Linked DNA regions of Rhinolophus ferrumequinum. The protein of the gene in region 1 purifies or fractionates together with the protein of each later gene. This does not show direct contact. Links are inferred from orthologs where the notes say so. Each region holds a gene or a part of one and is shown on either strand. Other genes may lie near its edges. The genes, in order: FBXO22 and KDM4B.

Region 1 (16,107 bases):
ACGGTGGGTACAGTGGGGAGGGGTGAGAAAATATTACGAGGAAGGAAAGCTATGATTCCCCAGAAACATTTGTTAGGAAGTACGTAGCAATAGTAGAAATGAGATCACTCATTTAAGGGAAAATTCAGAGGTTAAACAGAAAGCCTGGTCACTGCTCTCACTGTTTTAAGCCCACAAAATGGAAGCAGGTCAGGAGCTGCCGCGGGAGGGGACAGTCCCACAAACACACATTTACGTTTGCTCATGTGAAATACCCAGTCTCCTCTACTTCACTGTACAAGACTCTTAACACCTGATCAAAAGTGCCACCTGAGTGTTAAGAATGTCAGTCATGGAGGAGCACTGCAAACAGTCACCTACTGCATCTGCTCTGAGGGCTGCCATGTGTGACCTTGTCACAGCCCTCCCAGGAAGGCACTGCCACCCCACCCCACATCATAGGTGAGGCTGAAGCCCCGTGACACGAGGCGACTGGCACAGCCATGCAGGTACTTAGTGGTACAGCTGGATTCCAAGCCAAGTGTCTGAACCACCGCACCGTGACACCTCAATACAGCGTCCGTCCCCCACTAGCTATAGAAAAGAAATAAATAAGGAAAACCAGCAAAAGTTCAAGGCAGCAAACGTGGGAAGGGCCCTGCTTATTGTCAGCCCTGAACAGTGGGAGCCAAGCAGAGAAAAGTTTCCTAGCAGGGCTGCCCCCAGCTCCCAACCACAGCCCTTCACCCCGACCCCCAGACACAATGCTGGCTGAGGGATGAAGGGAGAACACTCACTAGTGCTGATCTGGAGAGAGGCAGAGCACGCTCTCTGTCCTCTTACGAACGGCTCCTGGGAAGCTTGGCAGTACCTTATGCAGAAAGCTTATGCAGACAGCCCTGAGACGGGAATATCAGCCACACACAATAATCCAAGCCACAGTAGTGGAAGTCAAATCTAATACCACGCTTAGCATGACCGACCTCACTGCACTGTGGCCAGGAATATAAATGTGCGTTCAAGCTACAAGTAATTCACCATAACAGGATCCCACAGTGATGCTGGCAGGAAGTCACCAAGTTGGCATTTCCTCTCACCTACGATCCCTGGGGTCACGACTCCCAGGACTTGGCACCGTTTCGGGAATAGCTTCTCGAGGGCAAAGGCTGTCTCCATGGTCGTCCTCTTCCTTGCTATAATAACAGAGTAACAGAAGAATTAAATGTCATCTGCTGAAGGTCAAATCTGATGGTGTGGATGAGAAAAGGCAAATACGGAATCAAGCTTAAGTCATTTTACACCAGAATGCTTCATAAGGAAGTCTAAGAACTTGGATGAGAACAAATGCGTTCCCGTTCTGCGCCCGTTTTCATTTAAATTCTAAATCAGACCTTTAGTGTCACCATTCTGCCTTTCCGTTTTGTTCACAGTCAGCTTTTGCTCCAATGTCATCACACAGTGGTAGCAGCTAAATTTTAGACTTGCTCTTGTAACCTTCAGTTCAGCTGACCATAAAGCACATGACTCTGCATAAACAGTCACTGGATTCAAAGACGACAACGGCAATCCGTTGTCTGCGTCTGGGTCTCAGCGTGGCCACTGGGGACCCCACGGCTGCTGCTTCCCTCAGCAAGCTGAGAACGCACAATAGCTATACATGACTTTGGTAAATGGGTCGCCATCATCCAACACAGTAAAAGGCTAGAACAGCCAAAGATACACATCCTGTTTTAGTAATCAAAAGAAGTGCCTGGAAGATTCAAGTATTTCAAAATGAGAAGAATACATTTCTAAAGAATTTGTTTCACTTGCACTTCCAGATTCAAAGACCATCCAGTCATGCGTTCCAAAGGGGTGGGCCGAGGCTTTGGAAAGTCAGTCTCAGGACTAGGACACACTTAACTCCAAACAGAAGGTACACAAGTAAACAAAAAAAAACCCAAACGTTTTCTTTCGCTATTCACCTCTCTTGTGGCCACGACACTCTTCCAGGCTCATGAAAGTTTCCGAATCAGCCATGTAAAGAACTGTCTGTGGTAAGATGTGCACATTCTGCAAAGAAGAAATCCATCTGAATTAGATCGCAGGATCCATGATTGCTTTCGTGGCCCCTGCACGTTTCACCCTGGCCCAACCTGCTGTCGCCCTCCCTCCTTCCGGCCAGTGCCTGAGCTAAGCCCATTCACTTCTCATTCATTCTTCACTCGGGCTCTTCCATTTTCAGGTCTTTCACTTGCTGAATATCTTTTGTTTCTTCAAGTGAAACTCATTCCAGCCTCACTCAATAAGTTCATTTTCATAATAATTTAAGGTCTTAAACAAAAACATGAATACCAGCAAAAATCACAACTTTATTTGACCAGGCAGGTAACAGAAAGAGCCCAGCACCAGAGGGGAGGCAGACAGACTGCACACTCATTTCACTGCCTAGCAAATGAAACATTCCAGGCCTTTGTTCCCACCTACCAGCTAGATTCCTAGAGGGATCTTCTGCTTACTATTCCCCGGACACATACCCTTATTCATATATTCTCCTGCAGCTCTCGTCCTTTCTTCTTGATTTAAGAATGTTTTTCCCAAGAGGCAGCGGAAGTGCCACCTCCGCTACACAACTTTTTCCTCAGCTCCCTCAGCGCCTTGGATCTCATATGCAACAGCCTTATATTTCAGTCATCTCCACTTATGAGCTGCGCTTATTCAGAATCAGGTTTTCCATTAAACTTGACATTACAGACAGGTGACAAAGTGGCTGAATTAAATGAGAAGGGTGAATGTGTTTTTCCTTCTAAGATGGTTATTCTCAAAGATGTTTACTATTAGAAGGGGATGAAGCAGTTAGCATATAGCAAAGACTCAATGTCGATTAAATGGGGAAAAAACACTGATCCACTGTAATTTGGGGGAACATTAAGATGTTTCAGACGAGATTCCATATAGACAAACTCATAAAAGAGACTGAGACAAAATGATGACCCAGCGGTAGCCTAAGGGCTGGATAAGACCTAAGGGTACAGTTTCCTTGGTCCATAAGGCATTTTCAAAGAACGTCATTTTGTTGCCAACATTTAAAAATCCATAAGTTACGTAAAATGTGGATTTGCAGATTCATCTGAAAAACTAGATGTGCTGGCAACACTTAGACTGCATTCCCCTTGAGCAGGGCTAACCGGCAAGCGCTGTGGACTGCCATAGCCCGCCCACTGCCTGCGGTGTTACACTGAGCCACCTGAGCTACCTGCCCCACTCTGCAGCCACCTGAGTTCATGACGCCCAGTGTAATAGTGGGTAAGGAGAGACAATTTAAAAGATTCAGGTGTTAGTGCTGACTCTGCCATAAACCAGCAGAATAACCCTTCAAAGTGCTTCGGCCTTAGGTTTCCTCGTCTTAAACACTGGAAGTCTAGGCCTCAGGTTTTCTGATTCTCTTTCCTGGTACCCATTAAAAAGCAATTGCTGAAATTTCCTTCCTCGTTCTCACTACAAGCACTGAAAATGAAAATCCTCATCATGAAATGTTCTCAAAGCACAATGTAAGACAACTAGAACCTAGTTCCAGTATTCAGAGAAGTTCCAAATGGCAAGATGTATTATAACGTTTTGAGTGAACTTTAAAATATTTTTAATACAGTTATATCAACTTTCTTTATGGCTATATGTCCAAAGATAATTTGGCAAACACAAAGAAAACAGCATGTATGATTTGGACAAGGTTTCCATGTTTCCGTCTCACCACACTAGAATTTACCACAATGTATAAACTCCTTTAAGGGTATTCCTATATTAATTTTAATAATGATGTTAGTAATAGAGAATAATAATTTCAATGAATGAAAACACTGTATTCCCAGTACTGTAGAGAATGTGTTAGATACATTGGGTTTCCATGATCTAATCCTTACAACAACTCTATAAGGGTATAAAGGGAGTTATTACTTTCTGAAGCTCAGAGAGGTTAGGTACCTTTCTCAAAGCCGCACAACTGGGTTCATGTGGTTCATGTGCCAAAGCTGGGTTCATGACTAAATCTGCCTAGCTATTACAAGATATAAGCCCTTAAAGCTATATAAAAATAATACTTGCTGTGGTAAAAATTTGAAGGAAAAAAATTAAAAACATTTTTAAAAAAATTCTACTCCCAAAACAAACTTTTGGTAACATTTTGGCTTTTTTGTTTTCTATTTTTCCTTTTTTGTTTTTAATAATTCAGATGATTAAACAAATAATTTCATAATCTACTTTTTTCACTTATAACATCAACATTTTCTCATCATAATGTGCCTTGCAGTTTATCATTTAATAACTTCATTTATTAGATACACATGAGGTTGTTTTCAGCTTCCCTTATTATAAATGATGCTCCAAGGAACATCTTTAAGGAAAAGTCTTTGCTTGCATTCTGAATTTTTCCATATGACAAACTTCTGGAAACAGATTTGGCAGGACTTGGGCCAAAGTGCCAAGAAGAAAGTTTTCTGCAAGTCTGTCTTTGGACACTGGCCACTTTGGATCTAAGTCTCAGAGCCCAAACAGAGTAAGAAAATCTACACAAGGAAGGGGGAAACAGAAGATTGGTTACTTATAGAATATTCATCTTATACCAAATACATTAAGAATGATGAAAGCCAGGTTTCTCATTGTCCAAAAGGGCAAGACAAATATGAGCTGAGAGAAAACCGGAGAGAATCCTGTGTAGGATTAGAATTGTATGTACCTGTGTGAACCCATGAATTCCCATATATATGTATATATACACACCTGTGTGTATATATGTATATGTGCATGTATGTATATGTATGTGTATACATGTATGCATGTGTATGCATATTGTGTATGTATGCATATGTGTATGTGTATTGTGTGTGTGCGTGTGTGTATGTATATATGTGTGTATATGTATATATAGAGGGTGCCAAAAAAAATGTAGACACATTTTAGGAAAGGAAAAAACTATTAAAATTACGCTGATGGTAACCACTTTGAGTACTTCTTGCAGAAGTCAAACGTGACTTGCATTCAGCTTTTGTTATCGGTATATATTATTACAATTTTAATAGTTTTTCCTTTCTTAAAATGTGTATACATTTTTTTGGCACCCTCTGCATATACACGTATGCACAGCTATAAATGTGTCTACATATAGAGATAGATGGACACACACACATGCTTGCGTATATTACATATATACACAAGTGGCTCTGCCCACCGACTGGCCTTGGAGACACAAACTGATCAATAGCAACGACTTGTCCAGATCTTGGCCTCCAAATATTATCCTCCATGAAAGGAACCAGGGCTCCTTGGAGTAAGGACTAGTTCCAGGACTGAGGCACGCAAACCACAAGATGAGCTTAGAATATCTTGTGTCATGGAAGTGCTCAAAGACAACGGAGTCTTTGAACACTCCGTTCAAAAGACACTGAAAACCAGCTGAAGGGGCTCCTGCTAGCTAACTTGGGGACAATTTGGGGACTCAAATAAATACTGATAATAACATGATATTCCATTGGCTAAAACAAGAGACTAAAAGTCTATGTAAATAAATAAACGAATGAATTGAAACAGGATATTTACATAGTTCCAAAGTATCTCCCCACCAAATACTTAGGACAGTGAGTGAAAGAGTAATTTTACAGTAGCAACATCTGGCTGACACTACCTTAATCAAATAATCAAAGATAATATCACCAGTGATGGGACAAACGGAAATCATATGACATCTCATAGGAAGCAATGTGAAGAGCATAGCTTCGCTTGGGATATTCCTGCCAAAGACACATAATCCAAATTTAAGAAACATCAGATGTTCTACAAAGTAATTGGCATGTAGAAACAAGACCAATAAAAGCAACATAAAATTCGAAGCCAATCCTGCTTTGAAAGACAAAAGTACCCGGGGACAACTGGTAAAATGTGAATGGAATCTGAGGATTAGATGGCAGAAACGTATCAATGATGATTTCCTGACTTTGATGGTTGTACTGTGGTTCTGCAATGTTCTTGTTTGTACGTAATGCATACGAAAGGACACAGGAGTGACAGAGCATCAGGCTAGCAGGGTACTCTCAAATGGCTCCCCCTTCCCACTACCAAGTGAGATGCCACAACCTCACCATCAGCTGTGCTCAACAGGTGGCCTCCTGTGACTACACAGTTCAAGTATTTACCTGCCCAGGTATTGCTCGTCTTTTGAAATTGGGGCCCAGTGGTACAACACAAGAGTACAGAATCTGGGGTTGAAATATTTGGGTTTATACCCAGTGTATATTCTTGGCTTATCTATGCAACACTAAGACCGAAAGACCCAGCTGCCTTCCCTCCAACAATACTTGATTGGCAATACTTGCTTTAAGGGAAACAGGTGAAGGGCGGAGTCTGCATAGCATTATCATAATAGTGAAAATCTGGATACATAAAGTGCCGAACATTTGAAGAACGGTCAAATAAAACAATCGCACATCCTTACAATATACACTCATAAAACCTGACATTTACAAAATCTTTAATGTCACGAGAAACATTTGTCTAAATTATAAAAAAATAAACCCATGTGCAAAATTGGGATTAGAAAAAGATTTAGCTCTCAAAGACTGACCCACCAACCCCAAAGGCCTGTGCACCGCACCGCTTCCCACTTGCCTCAAGCTCCTGGGCTGCCACTCGGACCAAGCAGTGCTCCTGCAGGTGGCCGGCGTCCGCCGAGCCCGCCGAGATCCAGGCCACCCTCCGCTGGGCCCGCAGCACTCTGCGCACGCTCTCCCGCCACAGGCGGCTCACGCTGGGGGCGCGACCACAAAGGGCTGTTAAGCGAGCGTCTGTCCCTCTCCCGGCTCAGACCCCCCCCCACCCCACACACCTTGCGGGATCAAATTCCGGGACCTGGAGCCGCATCCTCTGGGAAGAGCCCCGGGCGCACACACCACGGCGGGGTACCTGCAGACCGGGACGTACCCGCCGGGCAGGCGCAAGCCCCGGGTCCCGCCGGCTCCGCCCGCCCGCCCGCCCGTTGGCCCACCAGGCAGCCACCGCCCCCGCCTGCTCTCCTCACCCGGCCACTCGCAGCAGCGCCTTGGCGGGCAGGAAGGAGAGTACACGCTCCACCACCTCCGCCAGGTTACTCAGCACGAAGGCGCTCCGGGGGTCTGCGGAGGAGCCGCGGTCGCCGCCGCCGCCCGCCAGCTCCATTCCTCCCCGCGGGCCCCCGCAGCAGAACCGCGGCTCACAGGGGTTAGAAGTGCCCGAGCGCCCGACCGGCGCGCATTGCGCAGGCGCGCGCGCCACTTCCGGCACCAGGCTTCCGGCGCAGATCCTCCCGGACGCAGCCCTCCCGGAAGCTTGTCGGCCCCCCGCAGTGACAGCGGAGCCGCCTCCTCGGGTCTTGCTCCGCCCCGGCGGCGCCGCCTGCTGTAAGTCACGAGTTCCTGAAGGCAGGACTAGGGGACAGTTTTTAGTCGTCAGTCCCAACGCCTGTTAATATGAGCCCAGTTAAAAAACGACCTAAGATGTGGAAATCGGCGCTCCTCGCCGCCGCGCTCACGTCCGACTGTGACCTCCTGTCCCCGCGTTTGGGCACCTGCTGAATGAGATCCGGGCGGCCCAGCAGGCTGACTGTTAACGCTCCCTGACTCCCACGCAAGCTCGGGCTGACAACCGTGCGTGGAAGGGAGGTCAGCAGAGCACACACGGCCGTAACCCAACCTCCGTTCCTCCTGCTGCTTCCTCGCTAACGGAGCCCTGACTTGATGATGTCTGACATTATAGCCTCAAGACTCCACACTGACAACCCCAGAGAGCTTGTGTCCGTGGGTTACGTCTCTTAATATTTACCATATTAAAATTTTAAACATTTTAATATTACTTAAAGCATTGTTAATTGGCCCACAGCAAATTCCAAAAATGTATTTAGTTTACTTAAATAAACAAGGTGAGGCAATACGTATTTCACCCAGAGTGAGTGGCCCGGCTCTTTGTGTATTTTACTGCATATGGCCCTTGGTAAAAAACGTTGAGAAAAGTTTGGACACCCCTGAAAGTAATAAATCCATTACACATTACCAAAATAACGTTTTTCTGGAGGAAAAAACTAACCCTCTCTCTCCCAACAGTGAATAGTGATGTCTTTACATTTTGCTAACCTCTAATTTCTGGCTTAATGGAGGCAGCAGGATCGGCTTCTGAATTCAGTCTGCTGCAATAGCACGTCATGTAGCTCCTGGAAAACACGACTGTACACTTGAGAATGAGAATGAACATTGCAAATAATGTTTTAGCATTAGGAAAATACTTTCGACCTTAAAAACCTCCTAATAGGGTGTCAGGGGTCTCCAGGGTTCCCCAAATTATATGTTGAGAACCACTGGTCCAAACTAATGATGGTTTCATTCTTTTCACTAGCCATTAATTTAGGGGTAGACACAGGCCCCAGTTCTAGCCAAGGAAAAGTGAGGGGAGTGTGCAGGGGGTGGGGTGGGGGCTTCTGAAGATTTCCTCACAGAAGGAGACACTAGAAGACAGGCCCATTATCTACCTCTGGACGGAGAAACATGACTGCAGGTCCAGACATAACATTTAATCCAAAGATGAAATCAACACAGAAAAATCTCCGAGAAGCAGGGCAGAGCCCAGATGCTCTGTGCCTAGAGTATTCCTTCCTACCTCCAGACTTCTTGAAGGTGGGATAACCTGACGACGGTGTGTTAGGAGGAGGCTATGGGCACACAAAGAGGGAGCAGATTATTCTAACTGGGGACCTTGGGACAGCTATGAAGAATTTATATTAAAGAATGAGTGTAGGGGAGGGAAAAAGTTGAGGAAAACCTGAGTATGCCACACCTGTACACACCATTCTTGGGGTCTCTAGCTTTCCCTTGTTAAACCAGTCTCCCTCTCTGCCTCACCCCATCGCACCATATACAATCCTATTCCAGAAATTCAATAGAACCTACAGACACCTGGAGCAAAGAGTATTTCTTATGAGGGAAAATGACAGTTAATTTTTAAATGATTCTTTATTCATAAACTTGATGCAAGTTTACAAAATTTACTGTACATTGCCAAATAAATCTGCAATGAAAAATAAAATCCAAAAAACAAAGCATGCCAAATGTCACTCTGCTAGCCATCAGGATATTAAAGAATTCAATAATGGATTCAAGATTTAGCCTTAGGTCTAAGGAACTGTAATGCTTTAAAGAATTCTGCCTTGTCACTTGTTATCTGAGCAGCTGGCAATCAGAACTATATAGAGATGTGAACAAGAAAAGGCCAGAAAATCTTTTTCTACTGTCCTCTTAACCACACAATGCAGAAGTGCAGAGCCTCTCCCATGTGGTTTACAAAGTTAAAATTGGAATCTTCAAGCAAATGCATAAGAAACACTTTTGAATTTTGTAACTAGTTTGTGCAGAAAAATGTGCTTCTGGATTTCATTTTAAAAGTGCTTAACAACTAGAAGTTACTTTTAAATCAAACATGGGTATATAAAAAATCTATTACCAATCAAACAGGACTCATTCAGGTAAGGCAATAAAATGGAGACTACACTGATCTGAGTCAGGTTTTATAAAAGAGTTAACGTGTATAGAGTTCCCATTAGTCTTTCAGTAAAAGCCATTATTGTGACTATAACAAACATTTTAAAAGTCTCCCCAATTAGGGATCTTTTTATACTTAACTGTGCAGCTTTTGCTCAAGGAGTCTGTCTTTGTGCCAGTCACTTTGTAAGTTTATTAGGTATAGATAATTGCAACATCCCGTTAATAAAATGGAAATGACTTAGTCTCTTCTTCAAAAGAAACACTGAACTGGTAAGCAGCAGATTCAGCCAAGCACGATTGATGCCCCAGTGGAGTCACTACTCACAAGCCTTTCCTGCTTGCTCGGCCCAGCCTTGCTTCACTTTGCCTAAAAAGCACAACACAACTCAAATAAGAGCACGTCTTCGGGGAACAGCTCACATCTTCACATGGCGTGAAAAAGTTTAACAATTTATTGAGTAGGTGTCCTGTCAGTATTTTGGCAATATCATAAAATGGTTTCAACCTGAAAAAGCTACCGCGATTCAGAAGACCTTACATTTTCTAAACCAATATTAAACATCGATTAAACTTTTATTGGCTCTAAAATGAACAATATACTGTGAGTTCTCGTAACGCACAAGCTCAGAATGGGAAAGTTATCCTCAAGTCGCACCTTTGGTCACCTGATGCTGACCTGCCTGCCTAACAGATTTCAAGAAAAAGAGATGATAAGGAGTGGCCAGTATGTATATTTATCAGGAAAAATACAGTAAAGGCCCCACTGCTCAGTCCAGGATATCTAAAAAGAGCAAAATGAAAAGGCTATAACTTATACAGGATGTCAGTTGACAGATTATCCACTAAAATATCTATTAGCTAACGTCTTCGGTACTGCTGTTACAGGGGCACTCAAAGCTTGTGTCTGCATGTTGGAAAGATTTTCTTTAAAGCAACATTGGTCCAAGCATATGACAGTCAACACATTTAGCCATCTTCCTTTGGAGGGGTGTACCAGCCTGAAACAGAATGGAAAAAAAAAACACGTTAAAATACTTTTTTTTGTTTTAGTATTAACTTTTTAAATTTTGTATTTTTCAATTACAGTTGACATTCGATATTATATTAGTTTGAGATGTACAACGCAGTGATTAGACATTTACATAACTCACACAGTGATCCCATGATAGGTCTAGTACCCACCTGGCAGCACACATAGTTACTACAATATTATTGACCATATTCCCTATGCAGTACTCTACATCCCCACGACTACTTCATAACTACCAATTTGTACTTCTTAACCCCTTCACCGTTTTCACCCAGACCCCGCAAAATACTTTAATTCTTAAACCAACTAGGAGAAATGGCATTTCATTAAGTTAGCTACTTTCTCTACTCATAATGCTTAAACCTAGTATAAAAATTAAGCTCACACCTGGGTTGGTCACAAAGCATTTTGATGTGTTCACAGTAGATGCTCCTCGGCTTATGATGGGGTCACGTGCCCCATCACACTGCCGCAGCCCACACTTGGGCCCAGTCCCCTAATGCAGGAGCACACTGCCCTGTGCCGTTGTTGACCCTCACGATCACAGCCTGCTGGGAGGAGCAGCGCTGCCACCGCCCAGCACCACCAGAGTACCACACCGCATATGGCTTGCCCAGGAAGATTGAAATTCAAATTCCACATAAGGTTTCTATGGCATGAGTATCGCTTCTGCACCATCGTAAGGTTGGAAAATCCTAAGTGAAACCACCCGAAGTTGGGACTGACTGTGCAAAGTTATTTTCTATGAATAAATTGTCCTTGAGTTGTCAACATAAGATCTCCATGTTAATGGCATGTCTAGCTAATGTGATAGTACAGAACACTAGATTATAAGCTAGGTTTTAGATTCCATTTGGATTCTGTATTTAAAAGTAAACCTCCCAGGAAATAACTCTCCCCCAAACAAAGTCGTAGAACTTGGCTTGTCATCACTGCAGTGATGTCACTGTACCGGTGAGGAGGCCAGCTCAGCAGGTGATGCCTGAGACCAGATAGAGAATCCATGACGTGACTCAAACCTAGCACTCGAAGCTTGCACACACCCACTTTCTCAAATACAATACTTCCCATAAACATTTCTGAATGCTGACTACAATGTCTGTTTCAAAAAATAAATAAGAAATAAGAAAAAATACGATTGCTTCCAGATTCTACAAAAAACTAAGCTCTAAGCAAATGAGATTAAGTTGTCTGGTATGACATTGCCATGGGAACAGTGTGACTATCCCATAGTTTGTGGGGCAGCCACATGGTTCTGAAGTACACAGGCAGTTCCGGGTCTACTCAGTTAGGGTGCTGGAGATGATGATTCCATGTTTCCCCGAAAATAAGACCCAGCTGGACCATCAGCTCTAATGTGTCTTTTGGAGCAAAAATTAGGTCTTACGAATTTTTGCTCCAAAAGATGCAGTAGAGCTGGTGGTCCAACTAGGTCTTATTTTTGGGGAAACAGGTTTAGAAAAACCCGGCCTTGTTCTTGTCTTACCATTTCCCTCTTCAGAAGCTCGAACACTGCTTGGAATACAGGCACACCTCATTTTATTGAGCTTGAGATGTTGTGTTTTTTACAAAGTGAAGGCAAGAACCTCACCAGCAAAAAAATTACGACTCAGTGTGTTGGGATACTCGCTTTATTGTGATGGTCTGGAACCAAACCTGGAATATCTCTGAGGTATGCCTGTGCTACTTCAGAAACAAGCAATCACTGAAGAAGTGACGTTTGTTTGGTCATTAAAATAAAAATGAGCACAAAACAGAAATCTTAAGTCACCACATTTCTAGCAAAGAACAGTTTACTATACGAGTAAATACTCCCCTAAAGAAAACGACTTTCTATTTCTATTATTTGCTCTGCACACCAACAGTCAATGTCGCTCCCACGTTACAGCTACAGCTGATATCTTACAGCAGCACTCAGTTACAAAGTGTGAACACACTACTCCTTTTTTCCTCACAAATTTGACAAGATAGATGTCAGGCCGTCGTATGACAGATGAGTAAACTGAGGCTGAGAGGTAATCACTTGCTCAGGGCCACAGAACTAGTGAGTGACACAAATGGCACTGAAAATAAGTCTTCTAATTCCAAGACTACTTGTTTTATTACCTCACTATTAGACACACTCAAAATGTGCATTGTGAATACAAGCAAAATTTAAGTAACGCCAATAAAGTTTGTGCAAGATGTGTTAAGATTTTTTAAAATTTGCAACTCAAATGAATACTCGTAAGTGGATACTGAAATTAGAACTTTTTTACCGGAGTAGATATATGTGTAAGATTGGAAAAACATTAAGTAGTCCGAAGAGGCTCAGAGACAGCTGGTTCTGGTCCTGATTGCATTTACTCTGTCGTAACAATAAGAGCTCCACTTGTAGAGTTGCCTTTAACTCAGTTCCTTTCCTGATACTATATATTTCAAGTGAATAAAGTGACCCATTCTTTAATGGAGTCAAGTCTGGATTCTGACTCAGTTACCGACACCATTTCGCATGAAGCACAGTGTGTGTAGCCTCAAGTTACATTTTTTCACTGTAGTAACTGTACTTTATAAGAAATTAAAGCAAAAACAAAAATAAAACAAGATAAATATCAACAGCACATTACGTCAAACTTCAAAAATAGCAATAAATACATATTGAATTAAACATACCATTTTTCTCGTGTATCTGTACAATGGAATTATAAGATTGTTGGGCTCTTGCTAGATTATATTGATTCTGAAAGAGAATTATACATTTTAAATCAAAACTCTAAGTAGATGAAAATCATGACAAGAAATTTATGGATGTGTCACCACTGTGCTTAAAAGAACACAGGAAACAATTATATTTCCATTTCAAAAAGAATTTTAACTGAATACCCTCATTTCTCAATTTCATTATTCTCTACCATTTTAGAAGGCTAACAAAACCAAAACTGTACTCCAGTAACAAGCTACAAGCCTCACGGTTCATTCTGATAGTCCTACCACTGGACAAATACCAGGGCTTACAGGACCGGTGTCCCTCCCACAGATGAATCCAGTTACAGGGGGCTCCTGGGACCCAAGTAGAACGCACTCTCTTCCTCTTAACTTGTGTCCAAAAGAACAAACTACAGAATATTACCGTCACAGAAGAAAATGTTAAGCTTTGAGGACTATACATGTAAATGACACTTTGAATTAAAAGTCTAAAGAATGCCCGTAAGTGGTCCCAAGCCATGACTAAAGGAGGCCTCTTTTGGTGACCTCTTTTAGAGCCTCTTTTAAGGAGCCCAGTTAGGATTTCTTTGGTCCCCTCCAGACAACTGACCTACATCCTAACTTCCAAAGAACATATCATAAGCATTCTTTATAGAGGCGTACACATATATTATGTCATAGAATGTTTTTCAATAAATTCACACAAGTATAAAAAATGTATAAACACATTCTAAGTGAAAACTCTTTCTTGCTTATCCTGTAACCATTTGGAGAGCAGGGAGAAAGAGGGAGGGAGGCAGTGGGGGAGGGTCAATTCCAAGCATTCTGAAATTTTCATATGACATTTTCTAAACCATGATTTAGAAGTGGTTTAATTTCCAGATCCATGTAGATTTTTATTCACCTTTTCATTGTCTTCTAACCTTAATTGCTTCATACTTACAATACATGATCTGTATGGTACCAATCATTTTTTAATATTCTTCCCTGCTGCATGGATTAATTTATGATGACATTTTTTTCCATTTTTACTTGGGAAGGATGGCAGTATCTAATTATTGGTCATTCAAATCTACGTATTTGACATGTCCGCTTAACTTACCACAACCAGGGCACATTAAAGTCTCCCGCTATAATAGTGAATTTGTCAGTGTCTACTTGTAGTTTAATCAGTTTTTAATCTGTATTTTCAGGCTACTTTAATAGCTACATAAAGTGAAAAATTATTATTCCCTCCTGGCTGAGACTTTTACCATTAAGTAGCACTGATGCTTTCTGTTTGAAAATCTGTTTTGTTTGACACAACAGCTACATCACATTTCCATTTGTTCTGACTGATTATCTGGACTTGCTTCTACCACCTTACATTCTGATTTCTATTTCTCTCACTTTCTATTGCCTCCTGAAATTTTACTATCTCCTGAAATTCCAACGAGACATATTTTAGACCTTGCTCTGATATCCACCACCTAACTTCTGTCATGTTGTCTGTCCTCATGTCTCTGAGTTGTTTCTTCTAATCAATTAATCCTCTCTTCTGATGTCTAATCCATCGAGTTACTCATTTCAACAATTATATTTTTCATTTCTGCAAATTCTCTGCCATTGTTTTTCAAATCTGTTTCATCATTCTTGATGGTCTTACTGTTTGCTCAATTTTATGATTCTTGTTTTTTCTATGTTAGATTCTAATATTCTGTTATTTAATATAACAATTCTAATATCAAGTATCTATTCTGCATCTGATAATGCCTGGCCCACCAGTCTTCGGGAGCACGTGTCTCACTTGGAGTTTCTGCCCACCCATGGGTGATGGGTTGCCTCTGTGCTTGTGACCTTTCACTCTAACTCCCTGTTGGCTTGCTCTTAACCTTTGGGAATCCTGCAGACTTAAATCAGAAATGCTTTCCTCTAAAGAGTACTGACATGTGGTTCTGACGAGAACTGTGGGCACAACTGACATGAGGCCACTTTAGCCCCATGACCCTGGAGAAGCTCAGATTTGGTTTCCCAGCCTCGCTCGTTTAGAGAGAAGACTGGACTGCTTAGTACAGATAGCGACTCCCCCGCTGCCTGAAGCAAAACAAAAGCCGGGTCTCTCATCTGCACGTGGTCACTGACTGAGGGAGTCTGTAGGTCAGTAGCTGGAGGCCTGTGGGCCGCAGGGAAGCCCAGTGCCTTTCCTGATAATAGAAATGGGTTAGGCACCTGCCCGAGGGCTTGTGTCCAGGACTTGACTATGTCACTCACCTACCGTTCGTTCCCTGCATACAGTGAAGGGAGGCTTCTCAGGGGCACTGCTTTGCCTGGCTGACCCTCCAATTCCTGCTAAAAGGCCTAACCGCAAACCTCCACTTTACATTCTCACGACTCCAGCCCAGAGTTAACGTCACAGGCTGTGTGCCATGTGAACTGAACAGAAAACCAGCCTGGTCAACACCCCCTGCCCGTGGCCTGCTCTGAGCTTCTGCCAGCTGAGCCTAGGGAACTAAAGGCTGAGACTGTGCAGGGACCCTGCCTGCACGGAGCCGCAGGGCTTGGCTCCAGCAATGGGACCCTCCCTCCAACTTGCACAGGTGCCGGCGGGCGACTTCTCCTGTTTTCCAGAATTACATACATTTCTATCATTTAGTAATATTTTCAGGCGACAAATATTCATTTTCAATCAATAGCTTATACTATCCTTTAAAATATTTTAAATATTTTTGCAGTAATACTTACATGGCAAAAAGAAATTCAAAAAGCACAAGCAATTTACAGTAAGCAAAGTCTCCCTCCCACCTCTAATTGCACCCCTCAATATTTCAGTATCCGCTTATCAGAAACAATAGTTGTCAGCACTTGTGTGAACACCCAGAGATATTCTCTACTTACAAAAAC
Region 2 (16,574 bases), on another chromosome or scaffold:
TGTCCCACTGCAGGGCGCAGCCCCCAAGAACACGGACATGGTCCAAATGCTGCTGAGAGCATTTCTTCCAGGGGGTGAGTGTGTACTGGACGGGCGGGCAGCCCTGCCTGGAACGATGCCCACTCATGCCATCTCCTCAGTTCGCTGGGTCCGGGGCACCCAAGTCACAACGCACAGCAGGGGTAGCTGGAGCAGGTGGAGAGGTGTGAGCTCTGACGGTTCTCTGCATCCCACCGCTCGGCAAACACCAGAGCACTGATGACAGGCCAGGCACTGCCCTGGGCACTGGGGATAGCACGAGAATGGGCACACAACGCCCTGCCCACATAGGACACATGTTTGAGAGCACATGGACTGCCGGGAATGCACAAACGACTTCAGAGAGGGCAGAAGGCCGGGAATAACTAAGAACAGGGAGGAGAGAACAGTGGTATGTGCCCATGACTGCACCGTGTGTACACGAGCGCCTGTGAATGCACCTCGAGTGCACCTGTGAGCACATGGGCGTGTGCACGAGTGTGCCCGTGTGTGAGCCGTGTTGAACCAGGAAGAGGCATGTGGGGAGATGTACCAAAGAGCCCCTCTGTTTGGAGGCACCATTGGAACTGAGACATCATGGGAGGGTGTGGGGGACACAGCGAGCCCCCAGGGGCAGCCCTCAGCTACCCTTGAGGGTAGCGAGATATGGACAGCGTGGCCCTGGGCTGGGTGAGGGTCTGGATTTTGCCCTCTTTGAACTGGGGGACTCTGAGCACGAAGGGGCCAAGACCCACCCAGTGAACCCAGAACAAGCCATGTGCACTTTGTTGGGGGCTGCATGGTACCCACCATCTCTGCACCCCAGGGCCCCTGGTGGCCTGGACTTCACAGATGGGGCCACCGAGGGTCCCACTTCAGGGGTGCTGAGGACTTCAAGGTGTGGCTCCACCCTAGGTGGTTTTGGGGGGCCCGCCCTACACCCACATACTTCTCGCTGTTGGCCAGGCGGCGGTACTCCCCGACCGTCATGGCCTTCTTCTGGATGTTGTACTGCGTGAACAGGCCCGACTGGCCTGTCACCACCTGCTGGATGGGCGCGGGGATCACCACGTCGTCGATGTCGTCGTACGTCTGCCGTGGCTTCCACTCCTTCGGAGGAATGATCTGCGCGGCGAGAGGAGAGTCAGTGATGCCTCCAGAAAGGTCTGGCGAGCAGGCAGACATGCTCCCCCTCTGGAGACCAGTGCCACTCCCTGGGGAGCACACCGGGCTTGCCCCACAGGGGCACCAGGAACCACCTGTACCTTTAGAAAACCCCCAGCAGATCTGGTGCCAGCAACATGGGCACCACCTGCCAGGGCAGAGCTGTGGCCGCCTCCCATGCTGCATTTACAATTCTTTTAAAACCAAACGTGCTCGCTTTGTCACCAGAGCACGGGGCCACCGCGCCCTCTAGCTTTGAAAATGAGCACTGCAGGCCCAACACTCTAGGAACCCACTTCACGGACACATCCAGGGTGATCATCACAGCTCTCCTGCTGGGGAGACATGGAAGGCTTTACATTTGGATGGCAGAGGGCAGGTCATACGTAGCGGTAAGAGATAAGGAAAGTGGGGCAAGGTAACCAGTTGTAAGGACTAGGAATATAAATTAAGAAGGGCTGAGTGCGATGCCTGGGCAGGAGCAGAGGGGAAGTGACGACTCCGAGTGGAGGAGCCTGAGGTCACCTCTGAGACAAGGACAGCAATTTCACTGCAGCAGATCCAGCAGGCAGCCCCCAGGACTGGACCCTCCCAAGAGGTGACAGCTCTCCTGCCCCTCCCCTCCCTTCCCTGCCCTTCTTCTCCACAAGGGGACACTAAGGGCCAACAGGAATGGCTTGGTGTTAGGGGCAGAGGGTCTGGGCACAACCTGAGCGGCCACTGTGCTGGGCTTGCGTGGACTCAGGAACCCAGTCCCAGCCCGTCCCTGTCCCACGGGGCTGGGCCGCAGTCCTCTTGGGCACTGGGCCCACTTCTGCGCAGGCCTCCGGGGCCGACTGGGGCCAATCTCTCCCAGTCCTGGGGGAGAGAGCGCGAGCCTCAAGTCTCCTTCCAGGACGCTTTACAGGCCACCCAACAGCTTTAGGGAAAGGAACTAACCCGACCTGTTTTCAGAGCATCAGCCATGAACTCTGGGAAGGCCGAACCCTCACTCTGCTTGGGGCCAATGAGGGAAGAACACCGCGCTGATGCCCAAGTTTGCCGACAGCTTCCAGAAGGGCTGAAATCCATTTACCATCCCCAAGGATTCCATTAGGGCGTCTATCTCATCGGTGGAAGAAAATGTTTTGCTTGGCAACAAAAACACTTCTCCAGTTGCCTGTTAACAACAGACAGGTGTTGCCTACCTTGTCAGCACACAGCCGTATATTTACAAAATACAAATAAATAACAAGAGCAGTAAGAGGAAGTCAGTGGGTCTCACCCAGGGTGATCCTGCCCCCACAGGAGACACGAGGCAATATCTGGGGACATCTGTGGTTGTCACGACTGGGAGTGCTCCTGGCATCGAGTGGGTGGGGAGGCTGCTCAACCCCTCACAGTACCCAGGATGGCCCCCCCCAGAGAGTGACCTTGCTTGGATGTTACCACTGCCAAGGCTGGGACCATAAATTGGAGTCACATTGGGACAAGCCACCTCCTAGAGGACACGACTGTTCAGTGGAGGCTCGTTCTGGGGACATCGCTCCCCTGTGTCAGCTGCGGCCACGATGCAATAGGTGTCTGGGGTGCCTGTGTCTGATACAAGGCCACGTGACAACAGGGTGCTGAGGTCAGATTTCAAGAGAGAAATCTGAAGAGTCGAGTGATAAACTAAAACATTCAAGGCTAGAAATGGAAAAAACAAAACTGAAAGGGGCTGTGCCTCCAGGACCCAAGATGTTCTTTCGTGTTGAAGCTGCTTTTTAATTACGTGTGCAATGCCCACTCTTTACAGAAAACCTGACTTTGTTCCTGAAGGAAAGGGCCGTCACCCTGAATGGGCTCCAGACCCAGCCAGCGGGGTTCACCAAGGGGAACCCACTTCAGTTCTGTTAGAGGAAGTCCATCCTTAATCCCAGTCCGGGTCAAATGAACAAAACGTGTCACTCCCAAATCACATGCCCCTCCAATGAGAGCCTGAGGTTACTTTGTTGATTTATGCTGTCTCTAACACACTGCTGTGTGAATACATCTGACAACCAGGGAGGGACCGTCACGATACCTGGTCTGCACGTGTGAACCACACTTTCCTGGACACATGCTACTCAGGTTCTGAAACGTTTCATGAAAGAAGGGCTACTTCCAGCTGGTCTGGAACCCAAAGCTTCTGGAAAAATCCCTTAGCCACATATTGTAGCCTACCACCCTCACAGCTCTGGGAAATCAGATCTGAATGGAGGCTGTCCACACAAAGGACATCTGAAGGTCATCACTTAAGACCTTGGAGCACACTGACTGTCTCCACTTGGTGCCTCAAGGGCCCTGTACAGCCTGCGACTGACCCCTGCTCAAAGCTGGAACGCAAGTTCAGCCAAGGTCAAAAGGAACAGAAAGGCCACATACCCCAGGTGAATAAGGAGACACCAGGCAGGTGGTCTGGGTGTGAGTCATGTGGCAAAGCCAGGGAGTCTGGGCAGCTGGGGCAGAAGGTGTGGGGGACCCTGCAAGAGGGCAGGAGTGAGGGGCAAGCTTTTGGCCCCCCAAACTGCCTGCTTCCAAAGCCCTTTTGCAGGGGGCAGGTCTGGCAGCTGAGAGCAGGCTGCAGGACTGTCCTCAGGGATGCACTCAAGCACCAAAGCACCCTGACCCCTCCCACAGGACCCCACACTGCCCCATCACCCCACACCCCACTCCATGCCCCTCCCTGGCTCCTCATGCCCCAGCGCTTCCCAAGCAGCATGAGCAGGTTCCCAGCCCTGGTCTGCAGGGGGCCGGGACCCACTGGGCACAGCCCCCAGAGCATGCACAGAGCAGCCAAGGATGACGACGGGCCGCCTGATGGCTCCAGAGTGGGCACACCCAGAGCTGCTTCCAGCGGCAGCCCTGGCTCCGCCTGTGCACGCTGAGCACACATCCCTCCCAGCTCCACCGGGCCCCGCAGCTTTTCAGAGGGGACCAAAGACAGCGTTTATGAAAGAGGAAGCTCCTACCACGGCACATGCACACACACACACGCGCGCGCACACACACACGCACACACATGCACACACACACACACAGAGAAGGGTAGTCAAGGCTGAGGAGGCCAGGGTCAGGGACACACCTGTGTATGCAAAGCTGGCTCAGGCCAGCAGGACACCGTGTCCTTTCTCCAAAAGAGACTGGCAGGCCTAAGGGCCAAGTGCCCCTGTGTAAAAGACGTGGGAGGTGCCCAGGGCCACAGCACCTGCTTCCCTGGGCCATCTGTCCCCACAGAGTGGCAGGGAGGCCACTGAGGGACCAGAGGCACCACATACGGTCCTTGAGAGATGGGAGAAGGGGAGTGTGTGCCCGTGTGTGTCGGCGTGACGCTAACCACCAGGATCTGTCAGCAACCGCACTGTGCCCCCGCCCCTCAAGCACACAGTACCCCGTGCCCCCCCCCAGCGGGTTTCAGAAAGAATCTGCGCATCCAAAGGCCACTATCAGTCAGAATGAAAGCAGCAAATAAACCACCACTTAAAAGAGAAAAGGAACAAGTTTTGCCTTTATGCAAAACTAAAGGCAGAGGGAAAATCTGCCCTGAAAATATTTGCCTCACAAAAAAAACGGCTGCCTCCAGTCCAAACGTTTCCCCTCGATCCAGATAAATTAGCAAAAAATTAGTCCACCTGAATTAAAAACCTAAAACAGGGACATCAGGGTTCAGAGAAGAACTGTCGAGACAGCGAAGGAAACGAAGAAGGAAGAGGGAGAGTGAAAGTAAAGGCACGGATCACACAGACAAGGGGGTGATAGAAATGGCGAGGTTGAAAGGACGGCAGAGAAGCGATGGGGTGGAATTTAAAGGTGCTTGCGACAAAATAGCCCGAGATATTCATTTACTACAAGTTTCCGGCATAGAGGATGACATGAATCCAAAAGCTGATGGGCCGGCTGAGTCCCGGGTAAAGTGGAACTAGGTCAATGACAGGAGACAAAGCGGGAGAAAGCATGCCCCACTCCCACGGGCACCAGGATTCTGAGGATCGCAGAATCTCCCTACCACTGCTGACCTGCAGTGGACGCAGAGATAGGGAAGGGTCACCTGACAATGACACCAGCCAATCAACGGGTCAGCGGAGCAGAAAAGCCTCAGATGCTTCCGAACCTGCTAGAACCCCAGGCGCAGGGTTTCCAGAGCCCTTCTCATATGAGATGACAAACCAGCCAAGGGAGACACGGGCAGTGAGCACTAAAGCTATTTAAGGGGAGAACTGAAGCTAAAACGACAGTGGTGGCCATGGTTCCCAAACTAGATAAAAATGTTCTGCTTTGTCTATATTATCATGTGTACAGCGAACAAAAATCAAGAGGAAAAGGGGAGGAAAAACGATGCCGCCAGCATACTGCTTTCCTTATCTCCCAAGGCTGAGACTGAAGGCAAGAATGTAACGGGGACAGGAACTGATACTAGCAACAAAACCAACCCAAAACGGGCGGGGTGGGGGGTGGGGGGTGGAGGGGCCGGGCAGCAAGCTGCAGCCCACGGCTTAAATCCCACCCGCCGCCTGACTCTGTACAGCCTTCAAGCTAAGGTTGGTTTGTTTTGTTTTCATTTTTAATGGCTGAGGAAAAATTTTCAGAGTATTTTGGGACAAGTGAAAGTTCTGTGAAATGCACGTTTCAGGGCCCATAAATAAAGTTTTATTGGCGCACAGCTGCATCCGTTGGTTTAAGGGTCTAAGGCGGCAGAGCTAAGCGCTGGTGACACAGAATGTCCAGCCGGCAAAGCTGAAAATAGTATCTGGCTCTTTGTACAAAAGATTTCGCAACCTCCAGATTTAAAGGATAGACAACTAGGAATCTCAGATTAGTGACAGTCATTAGGAAGCAACTAGAAGAGCCCCAAACAAACAGATTACAAATCTTCCCAATTTTGGGGCGAGTAATGCCACACACACAGGTTCACGTGAACATGAAGAATCACAGCCATTTACATTAAAAAGCAACCCGGCGAGCTTGTGTGTTTGTCTGCACGCACACATCCACATGTATGTACACGTATGTGCGTGACACACCAAGGAAGGAGACAGAAGATGATGGCATCCGTGTTGCTTCTGGGGACAGGAGCTGGGAGACAGGGATGGAGGGAGCGGAGGAGACTCACTTGTCACTCTCGCCCAGTCACACTGTTTGGACTTGCCTCCCACATGCGTTACTGTCTCAAACAAATATCGATTTCACTGGGAATATAAATGCAAAAACTAAGCCCTTCCCGGCATCAAATGCCCCAGAAGCCTCCCCAGACTCTCGACCCCTTTCTCCCCCAGGCGGGGTGAGACTTGGCACCGTGAGGTCCTGGGTGGCCACTGCCCACTGCGCGTGTCCTAGCACAGCTGTGTTCCCGCCCCAGCTTGCCAGCTCCCACGGGGACAAGGGCCGTGCGAGTCACTGGTGAATTCCAGTGCCCAGGACAGCACCTGGCACAGGGAAAGAACCGTGTCCTGTCTACAGACACACGAGGGCGGAGGCGCTGCGTGAGCACTTAACGGTCACGGACACGCCCAGACACGCTGCGCGGGGCCCAGCACGTCACCCACCTTGGCCAGGCCTGCCCGGTGGGCTCCCTGGGACTCGATGTAGGCCACGTATTTGTTGAAATCCTTAAACTCTTCCATGGTTGGGCGAAATGTCATGATTTTACAACTTGGGTTCTGGGCCCCGTGATCCTCAGACCCCATGGCTGCAGCTGAGACGTCGCCACACCTGCAAGGGAACACAAAGAGCATGAGCACGGTGCCCTTCTCCCTCAGAACGTGCTGAAATACCCCCAGCTCCCGGGAGCCACGCGCTGCGGAGAAGGAACTGGGAGCCGACTTCCTCACTCTGCTCTGGCACAAAAGACCAAAATGGCTTCAACTAATTAAAACCAGAGGTGTCCTAGTTCTAAAAGCCAGCGCGATCCTGGAGGCCAGAGCACTGATTTTAAAGTCGGGGCCTCAGAAATAAAAGCTTTTCTTATCGGGGACTCAAACCAATGCGTGTCCTTCAGAGCTGGACGTCCGTCCGGCCAGACAGCAGCGCATGGCGAGTTATAGGTGAGTGAGATTGTGTGTCAGTCTGTCATCTTTCAAGATTTGAACCTGCGAGCAGGGGACCCTGACTCTGGGCAGTGCCCACTCTAAGCAGCACATGGGTCGCTCCAGGATTGGCCTGGCTACTGTCAGCAAACCCAGGCCCAATGAGGGCGGGAGCCTGGAACCTGGCCAGAACGGCTCCTCTCCTTCAATCAGAGATGCTCCAAGGCGTCCTGGTTACAACCACGCCTGGATATCTCAGCACAGAAGGGGGGAGTAGGGCTGGGTCTGTACATCCCAAAAATTCACTGCTGGCACCCGAAGAGGATTCTTGGGAAGGAGGCTGTAGGTTGAAGAGACCCCCCTCCTGTCCCCAGAGTTAAGGGGACCCAGTGGGGGTCAGTGGCCCAGCCCAAGCAGGAAGAGGCTTGGTGACGGTCTCTGGGAAGGGTCCCCCAAACCCAGACTTCCTCCAGGATTTAGAAAAGGTCAGAACCCGAGTGCACACAGACCCGAGAGCTTGGAAGACAATGTAACCAAGTCCACCTCCTCGCACCCCAAAGTCAGCTAGGGAATGAGGAAGCTCGGAAGCTCACTGGCCCCAGAAGGGGGGGGGGGGGTCCATTCACCAACATGCAGCCACTGGCTCCCAAAAGGCAGGCCCTGCGGCGGGCACTAGAGGGCAGCATGAGCCCAAGAATCGCGGCTGAGATGGTCACCTCTGTGGGAAGGATCTAGAGGCCCCAGGCCCGCAGGCATCCTGGCCCATGCCTGGGGCATAGGGGGCTGGGGTAGGGGGACAGCAGCTAAAGTCCCCCCCACCCCGCCACAAAGGGTCACACTCACAGCTGGAGGGCCACAGAGGATCCTGACACACACACAGGCCACTGCTACACCCAGGCTGGGACCTACCAGGACCCTCTTCCCTGTATCCACAGGGAGTCTTGAGGCTTCTCAAGGGGCAACTACAAAGCTGAGGTGCACATGGCAGGCCACCAGTGCCTGTGACACTGTGGGCCGGCTCACAGGGATCCACCAAGAAAACACGGTTTGTAAGAAAAGGGGTTGTCACAGCCCCTCGGGAGCAGCAGGCACCACAGGGCCCGAGCCTCGGCAGCCTCCTGGAGGCTGCCCCCGTTGGAGCCCTGAGCCACCCTTAGCACGGACCACCACACCGTCCTAGCCATAGCCTGGGACCTGGATCCACACCTGGGACCTCTCCCCTCTTCCCAGCCCACCTTGCGCTCTCCCTCCTGCCCAGACACAGCCATGCGGGGCTCCCAGCTCCACTGCACAGGGGCTGACACGACAGTGTGTCCGTCTGTCTTAAGGGGACAGACCCTGACGCCTGTACGACTGTGAATATCGGTGTGGACATGAGCTGGCTAATGGCGTGGAGGGGACCGCAGGAGGGCAGGCAGAGGAGGGAGTGGCTCCCTGGCCGGGACATCAGAGGAGACACAAGCGTGAACAGGTAAGAGCGCTCCTCGTGCTCCCAGCACCCTAGCCCCCCACTCCTGCCTATGCCCACCTCGTCACCCCCCAAGATTTTCCCCACCTACTGGGGATGCTCAGGGTCTCTGCCGCCCACGCATACCACACAGACCATCACACCTGTCCTCTGAGGCCAGCTGCCTGAACATGACTGCCCCAGGCTCAGCCCCTGGTCCCAAGCCTTGGCGGCCAGGCACAAATCCACAGACAGGTTCCTCAGTCTGTCACGACCCACACCCGGATCCAGCAGCGGTGGACACACAAGCACTGCACAGGCCCCCAGCCCTGTTCTGTGCATTTCACGTTAGCAATTCATCCACTCCACACAGTAAGTCCATTTGTCATTGTTCACGGAGGAGGATACGAGGCCCCACAGGGGAAGTCACATACCCAGGCCACACGGCAGGTACGTGGCAGGGCCAGATGACCAGCCAGGCTCTGCCGAGACAGCCTGAGTCTCCCACGGCTCGCGCACCCTCTCCCACCCTGCTGAGTGACAGGTGCCAGGACCCATCCACACCCAACAGCTCTCAGGTGTGACTCGGCCCTGGCCAGCTGGCGGCCGCTCCTCCCAGGCTGGCTCACGAGGGGCCTACAGGGCAGGGGGCCACGGCGTCTCACAGAGGCTGCCTCCCCTCAGTCCATGCAAACACCCAGCTCCGCCGGTGGGAGGCGATGGGGTACGCCCATCTCTTCTTCCCTGAGACCAGCCTGTCCCAGGCAGAGCTGGGGCAGCCGGGGGGCCTGCCCACACGAGCTCTTTCATGTGTCAAAAATCACGACACAGAGACGAGTTTTCCATCTAGGAGGTGGGGAAAGTAGATGGTGAGACAGCAGGTAGAGCATTCTGCATATGCATGCTGGCAACGAAAGCCAAACTCCAACCTGTCATCTACTGTCCGCTCCATGGTGGGTCGTGTACGCTTTTCTTTCTCTCTCTTATTCGTGCCTTTTGAAATGAAGCCTTGCAGTAGGTAAATAGAAGGAAGAAAATTAAACTGGTTTATAATCCCAACACTCCATAACCCCTGACACATTTCTGAAGGAGGGCAAATAAAAATCACACATATACATATTTAAGAAATAAAAAAGGAATCTGACTGAACGCCAGCCCTGGGCCAAACTTCTGGTTTACTGGACACATGGGGGGAGGGACAGGACCGAGTGAGAGCCCCCGATAAGGGAACTCACAGAACAGTCCAGAAAGAACGACGTGTTCTTTACAAAACAGTACCATGCTGAAAAAGTGGGGCTCTAACAACTCAATAATACAGAGACAGCCCAGTTAAAAAGTGAGAAAAGGACCTGAATAGACATTTCTCCAAAGGGACTACGAGGTCTGGCAATTAAGTTTGCGAACTCATCCTAGAAAAAGTGCTACATGCCTCACTGCTGAATATCACTACGGTCACCTTCGAAGGACTTCCCTTGGGAAGCTATGCACCGACGCCAGCACCTACTCCACCCTTCAAAGCAATTTTGGAACTCTTTTTCTGGAATGGCCATCAGAACTGTAGTCATATTACCCTTGATGTCCTGAATGTCATCCAACTGTCTTCCTTTCAATATTTCCTTTATCTTCAGGTAAAGAAAGAAGTCACTGGGGGCCAAATAGTAGGGAGGGTGTTCCAATACAGTTATTTGTTTACTGGCTAAAAGCTCCCTCACAGACATTGCTGTGTGAGCTGGTGCCTTGTCGTGATGCAAGAGCCATGAATTACTGGAGAAAAATTCAGGTCGTTTTCATCTAATTTTTTCACGCAGCCTTTTCAGCACTTCCAAATAGTGAACTTGGTTAACTGTTTGTCCAGTTGGTACAAATTCATAGAGAATAATCCCTCTGATATCAAAAAAGGTTAGCAACATTGTTCTGACTCTTGATTTGGACTGAACGAAACTTTTTGGTCGTGGAGAATTGGCTGACTTCCATTGTGTACTTTGACGCTTTGTTTCGCGGTTGTATTGGTACACCCGTGTTTCGTCACCAGTGATAACATGGCCCAAAAGGTCTTGGCAAACTTCGACTCTGCTTTTGTTCACCGTTCAGCTCCTTCAGGACCATTTTTGCACACACCTTTCTCATGCCAAGATTTTCAGTTAAGATTTTTCAAATTGTTTCTCTATCGATGTTTACTTGGTCTGCTATGCTTCTCACAGTCAGCCGACGATTGTGACGCACAATTCAACAAATTTTTGCAATGTTTTTGTCAGTTCTGCTTGTTACTGGCCACCCTGACCTCTCTTCATCAGTGACACGTTCTCTCCCCTCAGAAAAACGTTTAATCCATTTGTGCACTGCCGTTTTCTTCATGGCCTTATCCCCATAAACTTGGACTAACATGTCCCTGATTTCACTTCCACTCTTGCCAAGTTAACAAGATATTTAATGTTTGTTCGTTGCTCTAATTCATCTAATTCAAGCTCAGACATTCTCGCGATGGCACACAAAAACAATAATGAGCACCACTCAGCAAGACGCCGCCACACGTCCACACGAACACAGCTGTGACACACTGATACACCAAGGTTATGAAACCTGACAGAGATGTTTGTACAGTGTTGCCAATGTGAGCGCAAGGTGGCAAGTTCGCGAACTTAATTGTCTGACCTTGTACACAAAAGGTCAATAAGCCCGTGAAAAGGGGTTACAGTGAGCCAGCAAGGAAATGCAAATCAAAACCACAGTGAGAGACCACGCACCACCCCACACCCCTGGCTAGAATAAGACAGACAGACAATACCAAGTGTTGCCGAGGAGGTGGAGAAATCGGAGCCCTGAGACTCTGCAGGTGGGGACGTAAGACGGTGCAGCGGTTACGGAAACCGTTTGGCAGTTTGGACGAGACTATGATCGGCAGAATAATGCCTCCCCCACACCCCCCACCAAGATGTCCATGGCCCAATCCTAGGATTGGGGCTATGCTCCCTTCCATGGCAAAAGGGACTTTGCAAATGGGATGAAGTCAAGGAGCTCATCATGAGGATGACCCTGGATTACCTGGGCGCCCAATGTCGTGATAGGGTCCTTATGACGGGAGGCAAGAGGGTCAGAGTCAGAAAAGGAGACGAGACAACAGAGTGGCAGAGGCAGCAGCTGGAGTGGTTTGCGGAAAAAGCCCTAAGCCAAGGAAAGCAGGCAGCCCCTTGGAGCTGGAAAATATCAAGGAGATCGAGTCTCCCTAACGTCCCCAGAAGGAGTGGCCCTCTCAACACCTTGACCTTAGCCCGAAACACTCACTCCAGACTTCTGACCCCCAGAACTGTCCGAGAATAAATGTGGGTCGTTTGAAGTCACCACGTTGATGGTCACGCTACAGCAGCCAAGAGACGCGATTAAGGGAGAATATTTCTAAAAAGCAGTTTGGGGTTTTTGATTCACATGAAAAGGCCACATATTAGTCGACACCTGGCCCTAATTAGTCATGAAGCCTTCGTCCGAGGGCAACCCTGAACATGAGCCAGCCGTTCTCAGGCCACCGGGGCAGCCACCTTGGGACGGCACGGAACACATGGGGCTGTGTGTTCTCTACCCCATCACGCTTGCCCTGTGTGCGGGAGCCGGGAGGTGACTCGCTGGTTCCCTCTCTTCTTACCAATGACCACCTTGGGCCACCATCAGAGGCTACCTACCACTTTAACCCCTGTCCTCTGTTCCTGGTTTATTAGAAAAGTACAGGAGAAGGTAAACAGCCTGGAGTTTAAACCCAGAAGTAGCTGGGCAATGGAATGCTCTTAAATGCATTTTAAAAAAATCTTCTATTTTTTAAAACACCCCCCACCCCACGCCCAGCTGTGACTAGTAACCATCTCCTGCAGGCCACGGGCTGGGGTGACTACGGCCCTCAGGGAGCCCAGCAGTGGCATCCTGCCTGATCCATAGGTCCCAGACTGGGCAGCCTGTCCTGGGCGACACAGGGCTTCTAGAAGTGAGGGGCAGGCGTTCAAATGCTGACGGGTGAGCGTGCAAACGTGGAGTATGTGGGATAGAGAAGACACATCCAGAAAAGTCACCCCCAGAGGGCTCCAGGCTCCTCTGTCTAAGGGTGAGCAGACCCTGGACACCCCAGGAACTCAGAACCAAATGGGGCCGCCTTCTCCCCACAGCGTGCAGGACTGACAGCTGCCCTGGCAAGAAGCTGCGTCCTTCCGTGCCTTGGTCTTACACTTACTTGGAAGTTCCTGGTATGTCCTGGATGGCTGAGGCTGTGATGACAGATGCTCCAATAAGTGACTCAGGTTTCTGTCAGGTTCTGGCAACGGTGATGGTTCCTAAATTGCACAAGCAAAAGCATGATTAACTAAATGGATCACATGCTTAAATCTCAATTCCACATTATACTCCTACATACAGCAGCACGTAGCCCAGGGACACTTGCCTTTATTCAAACACTTCCAAATCCTTGCCACTTCATGGGACACAAAAATCCATAACTAGAAGCACTTTCCCCATTCAGTCTTCCAAGCACTGCCCGTTTTAAGCACAGCTCCGAAAAATCAGTCCCTGAGGAAGCGAGAGCTCCGCGAACAAACTGAACCAAAGAAGCGTCTGGAAACCTTAAGGTCCAGGTAAATTCTGTGAGGTTTACAAGTTCTGCCTCCTGTGAACCCCACAGCTGGGGAGTGTGCCCCCTGAAAAAGGAAAGTTGCATGGACAATGAATGCCACACAGTGACTTCTGCACCCCAAAAAGGCAGAGGGCACAAGGAGAGCCGGCAGGGGCTGTGCAGACCCCGCGAGGGCAGGGTCCCAACCGCGGATTTACAGCTGGGCAGGGACACTCCAGAACTTGCTCAATGGATGCAGGACAACACCTGCGTGTGGCCCCAGGACCTCTGACAATCGAGGCTATAGCCACCCTGACTCACCAGCTCTCCCGCCCACATCTCCCCACAGCTCCTGTGACACGTGAACCCCGATGGCACAGGGTCTACCAGGTGCTCCCTGCTTTTGGGCCTTTGCTTGTGTTGTCCGTGATCTGAGAGTCCCCAGTGGGCCCGATGCCCTGGGCAGGGCAGCTCACCCCTCAGGCCCCAGCTTTGCTGAACTCAATCCCACACATCTTCTCTAATTCACCAAGTTTTAAATAGAACAGATTTCATAAACACCCTCACAACGGGCAATGTACATGACATTTTTAATCTTATTTTAATCTGGTTTTTAAAAGTACCAGGCATGACCCATTAAATTGATTTCGCTGTCTTTGAACAGGTCACAACCCCCGGGTGAAAGGCCACACCAAGCTGTGGAATTCGTGACCTCAGGTTGCACGCAGCTTCCCCGGGACTCCAGACTCGGGGACCATTGCGGGCTCTTCCCAGGCCTCCTCGGCCTCTCCCACCTGCGCGGCTGAAGGCTGCCCTGCCCCACAGCCCTGCCAGCACCTGACATCAGCCTGAGCTCAAGTCGGAGGATCTGATTACGGCGTGGCTGGCAGAAGAGTGGCCGCCCAGGGTGACCGTGTCCGAACCCCAGCACCTGTGGCTACGCTCACTTCTAGGGCAAAAGGGACTTTGCAGATGGGATTAAGTGAAGGATTTTGAGATGGGAAGATTATCCTGGATTAGCAGGTGGGCTCTGTCATCACAAGGGTCCTTATAAGGGGGAGGTGGGAGGGTCAGAGTCGGAGGCGACGTGATGACAGAAGCAGAGGTCAGAATGAAGTGCTGTGAAGATGGAGGAAGGGGCCAAAAGGCAAGGACGCAGGATGCTCTAGAAGCTGGAAATGACAGACAATGGCCTCTGCCCGGGAGCCTCCAGAAGGAACCAGCCCTGATCTTAGCCTCCACGAGACCATGCCAGACTTCCGGCCTCCACAACTGTCAGGTAATACAGGTGTGTTGCTTAAGTCACTAAGTCTGTAGTCACCTGTTCGGGCAGCAAAGGGAGACTAACGCTGTAGCTTCAATGTGCGTTTTCCTGGTGAGAGAGGAGGCGAGGCACCGTTTCACGTGTGCTGAGCACACAAGCCTGGCTGCTGTGCTGCCAGTCCCCTCTCTCGGCCTTATCTCGATGCGATCACGTCTCCCTCGGCACCTGGAACTGTCTCTAGCACACGTCTCCCGTTGGACACGGGCCGCCCCCACCAGCACATCGTCTGAAAGGCAGAGCAACCACCAGGGCCTGTGGTTCTCAACTGGACAGACCCCAACCTGCTGCTGCCCCTGGCTGCTGGGCCACCAAGACCATGGGTCCTTCTGCCCTCATGCTTGGAGGGCCAAAAGCACGAACGCCCAAGCCCGGAGGCTGGAAGCTCTGGGGCCGAGGTCAAGGCCCAGTTCTCAGGCCACAAGCCAGGGTGAGGCCTGTCCACCGCGACCCATGTCTACAAAGGGCGAAGTTCCAGGCTAGCCCACCTCTACGACTTCTTCTGGGGCTGAAGGATCCCCTGGCTGGCCAGCAGCCACCCTGCAGGCTCTGGGACGCAGAGGCCTGGCCTCAGACCCAGCCACACACCCACTGGCCATCAGGCAGCCCAGGCTGAGGGATCAGAGGCCCCCCACGTGCGGGCTGCACAGTGACCCCCTTCTGAAAGGGGAAATGGACTCTACAGTGGAGAAACCTGGCCACACACTCAGCCAGGGGTTCAAGGTCAACGTCAACAGTGGTAGGTCATGTGGCAGCACGATCCTGGATGTGATGGGATGAGGAGGGACCCTCACCTCAGGGTCTCCCTCCCAAAACCCATCACCCCCATCTAACCTGAGAAACAGACCAAACATAACCCAATTTAGGGACCTTCTACAAAATCCCTGACCAGTCCTCCTGGAAATTGTCAGTCACCAAAAACAAGGGAAGTCTGAGAAACTGTCACAGCCCAGGGAAGCCTAAGATGTGACAATTAAATGTCATGTGGGCTCCTGGATCAGGTCCTGGGGCAGAGAAAGGACATTCAGAGAAACAGAGGAAATGTGAATGTAGCATGGACTTCAGTTAGTAGGACTGTGCCATTGGTTTATTAATTTACAAATATACCAGCTAACGTAACACGTTCCTAATAAGGAAACTAGGGTGGGGAGTATATGAGAACTCTACCTGTTCAATTTCTCTGTAAATCTAAACTGTTTTAAAAATAAAGTCAAAGTAATTTTTAAAATGGAAAATAAAATGAAAAGCCCCAAGCAGGCTGGGTCTGATGCTTCCCGCTGCCCAGCCGCTGACCTCACTATGGGTCCCAGGAAATCTGGGGCGCTAAGAATAGAACTCGAGAGGGAGTCCGGTTGCAGCCAGGTAAGAGCCTGCAGTGGCAACCCAAGGTACCAGACATAGACTCCCCTAAAAGGCGCAGTCTGACCATTTCTCCTTAAAAAGGCACTATCTATTAGATGATGTTGTTCCAACCTGCCCGCCCCAAGTCCACGACGCTGATGGAAGCAGCTGGCACAGCGGCTTATTCCTCACCCCTCTGCAAAGGGCAGGCAAGTGGGGCCAGAAAGGAAAAGCAGCAGGAACCAGGGAACGGGCCAACTGTACCTAAACACTGAGGCTCCACGAACTGCTACTGACTGGTGACATTTCTGGGACCCCACAGGGTGGCCACCCCATCCCAGGGAGGGGTACCTGGGCCCCCTGGTCCTATGAGCTCTCAGCCACCCAGAGCTGACCCTTGGGGAGGGTCTGGATGGCTGGGCCCACAGCAGACCACATTGCCCACTTTTTCCCGGGACCTGGGCCCAGGGTCCGAGAGGTGGAGAGATGACCGGGCGTCCTCTGGGCCAGAGAGGAAGGGAGCCCTCACCTGTACGCTCGGTTACCTGACCCCGGAGGGCTCAGCTCCTGACTCTGCCTATTGCTCCCAGGCCACAAGCCCCAAGCAGCCCCCAAAAGGGGCCAGGTATCTCCTGCCACCCACTGAAACCTGCCCCTCACAGGGTGGGGCGG

What was found.
Region 2: the proteins of FBXO22 (region 1) and KDM4B purify together in Homo sapiens (affinity purification with western blotting; 3 studies listed by BioGRID, with this or other methods). This does not show direct contact. The link is inferred for Rhinolophus ferrumequinum from reciprocal best matches to the Homo sapiens genes FBXO22 and KDM4B.

The regions. Positions count from the first base shown.
Region 1 is NC_046311.1:437,905-454,011, forward strand, and holds the start of FBXO22 (F-box only protein 22), read right to left. Parts: upstream 7,244-16,107; 5' UTR 7,162-7,243; coding exon 7,025-7,161; intron 6,755-7,024; coding exon 6,616-6,754; intron 2,032-6,615; coding exon 1,944-2,031; intron 1,173-1,943; coding exon 1,077-1,172; intron 1-1,076. Other genes in the region: UBE2Q2 (ubiquitin-conjugating enzyme E2 Q2), read right to left, coding at 10,479-10,510, 13,195-13,261. UniProt on the Homo sapiens protein: Substrate-recognition component of the SCF (SKP1-CUL1-F-box protein)-type E3 ubiquitin ligase complex that is implicated in the control of various cellular processes such as cell cycle control, transcriptional regulation, DNA damage repair, and apoptosis.
Region 2 is NC_046301.1:58,882,248-58,898,821, forward strand, and holds the start of KDM4B (lysine-specific demethylase 4B), read right to left. Parts: upstream 6,867-16,574; coding exon 6,726-6,866; intron 1,144-6,725; coding exon 968-1,143; intron 1-967. UniProt on the Homo sapiens protein: Histone demethylase that specifically demethylates 'Lys-9' of histone H3, thereby playing a role in histone code. Does not demethylate histone H3 'Lys-4', H3 'Lys-27', H3 'Lys-36' nor H4 'Lys-20'.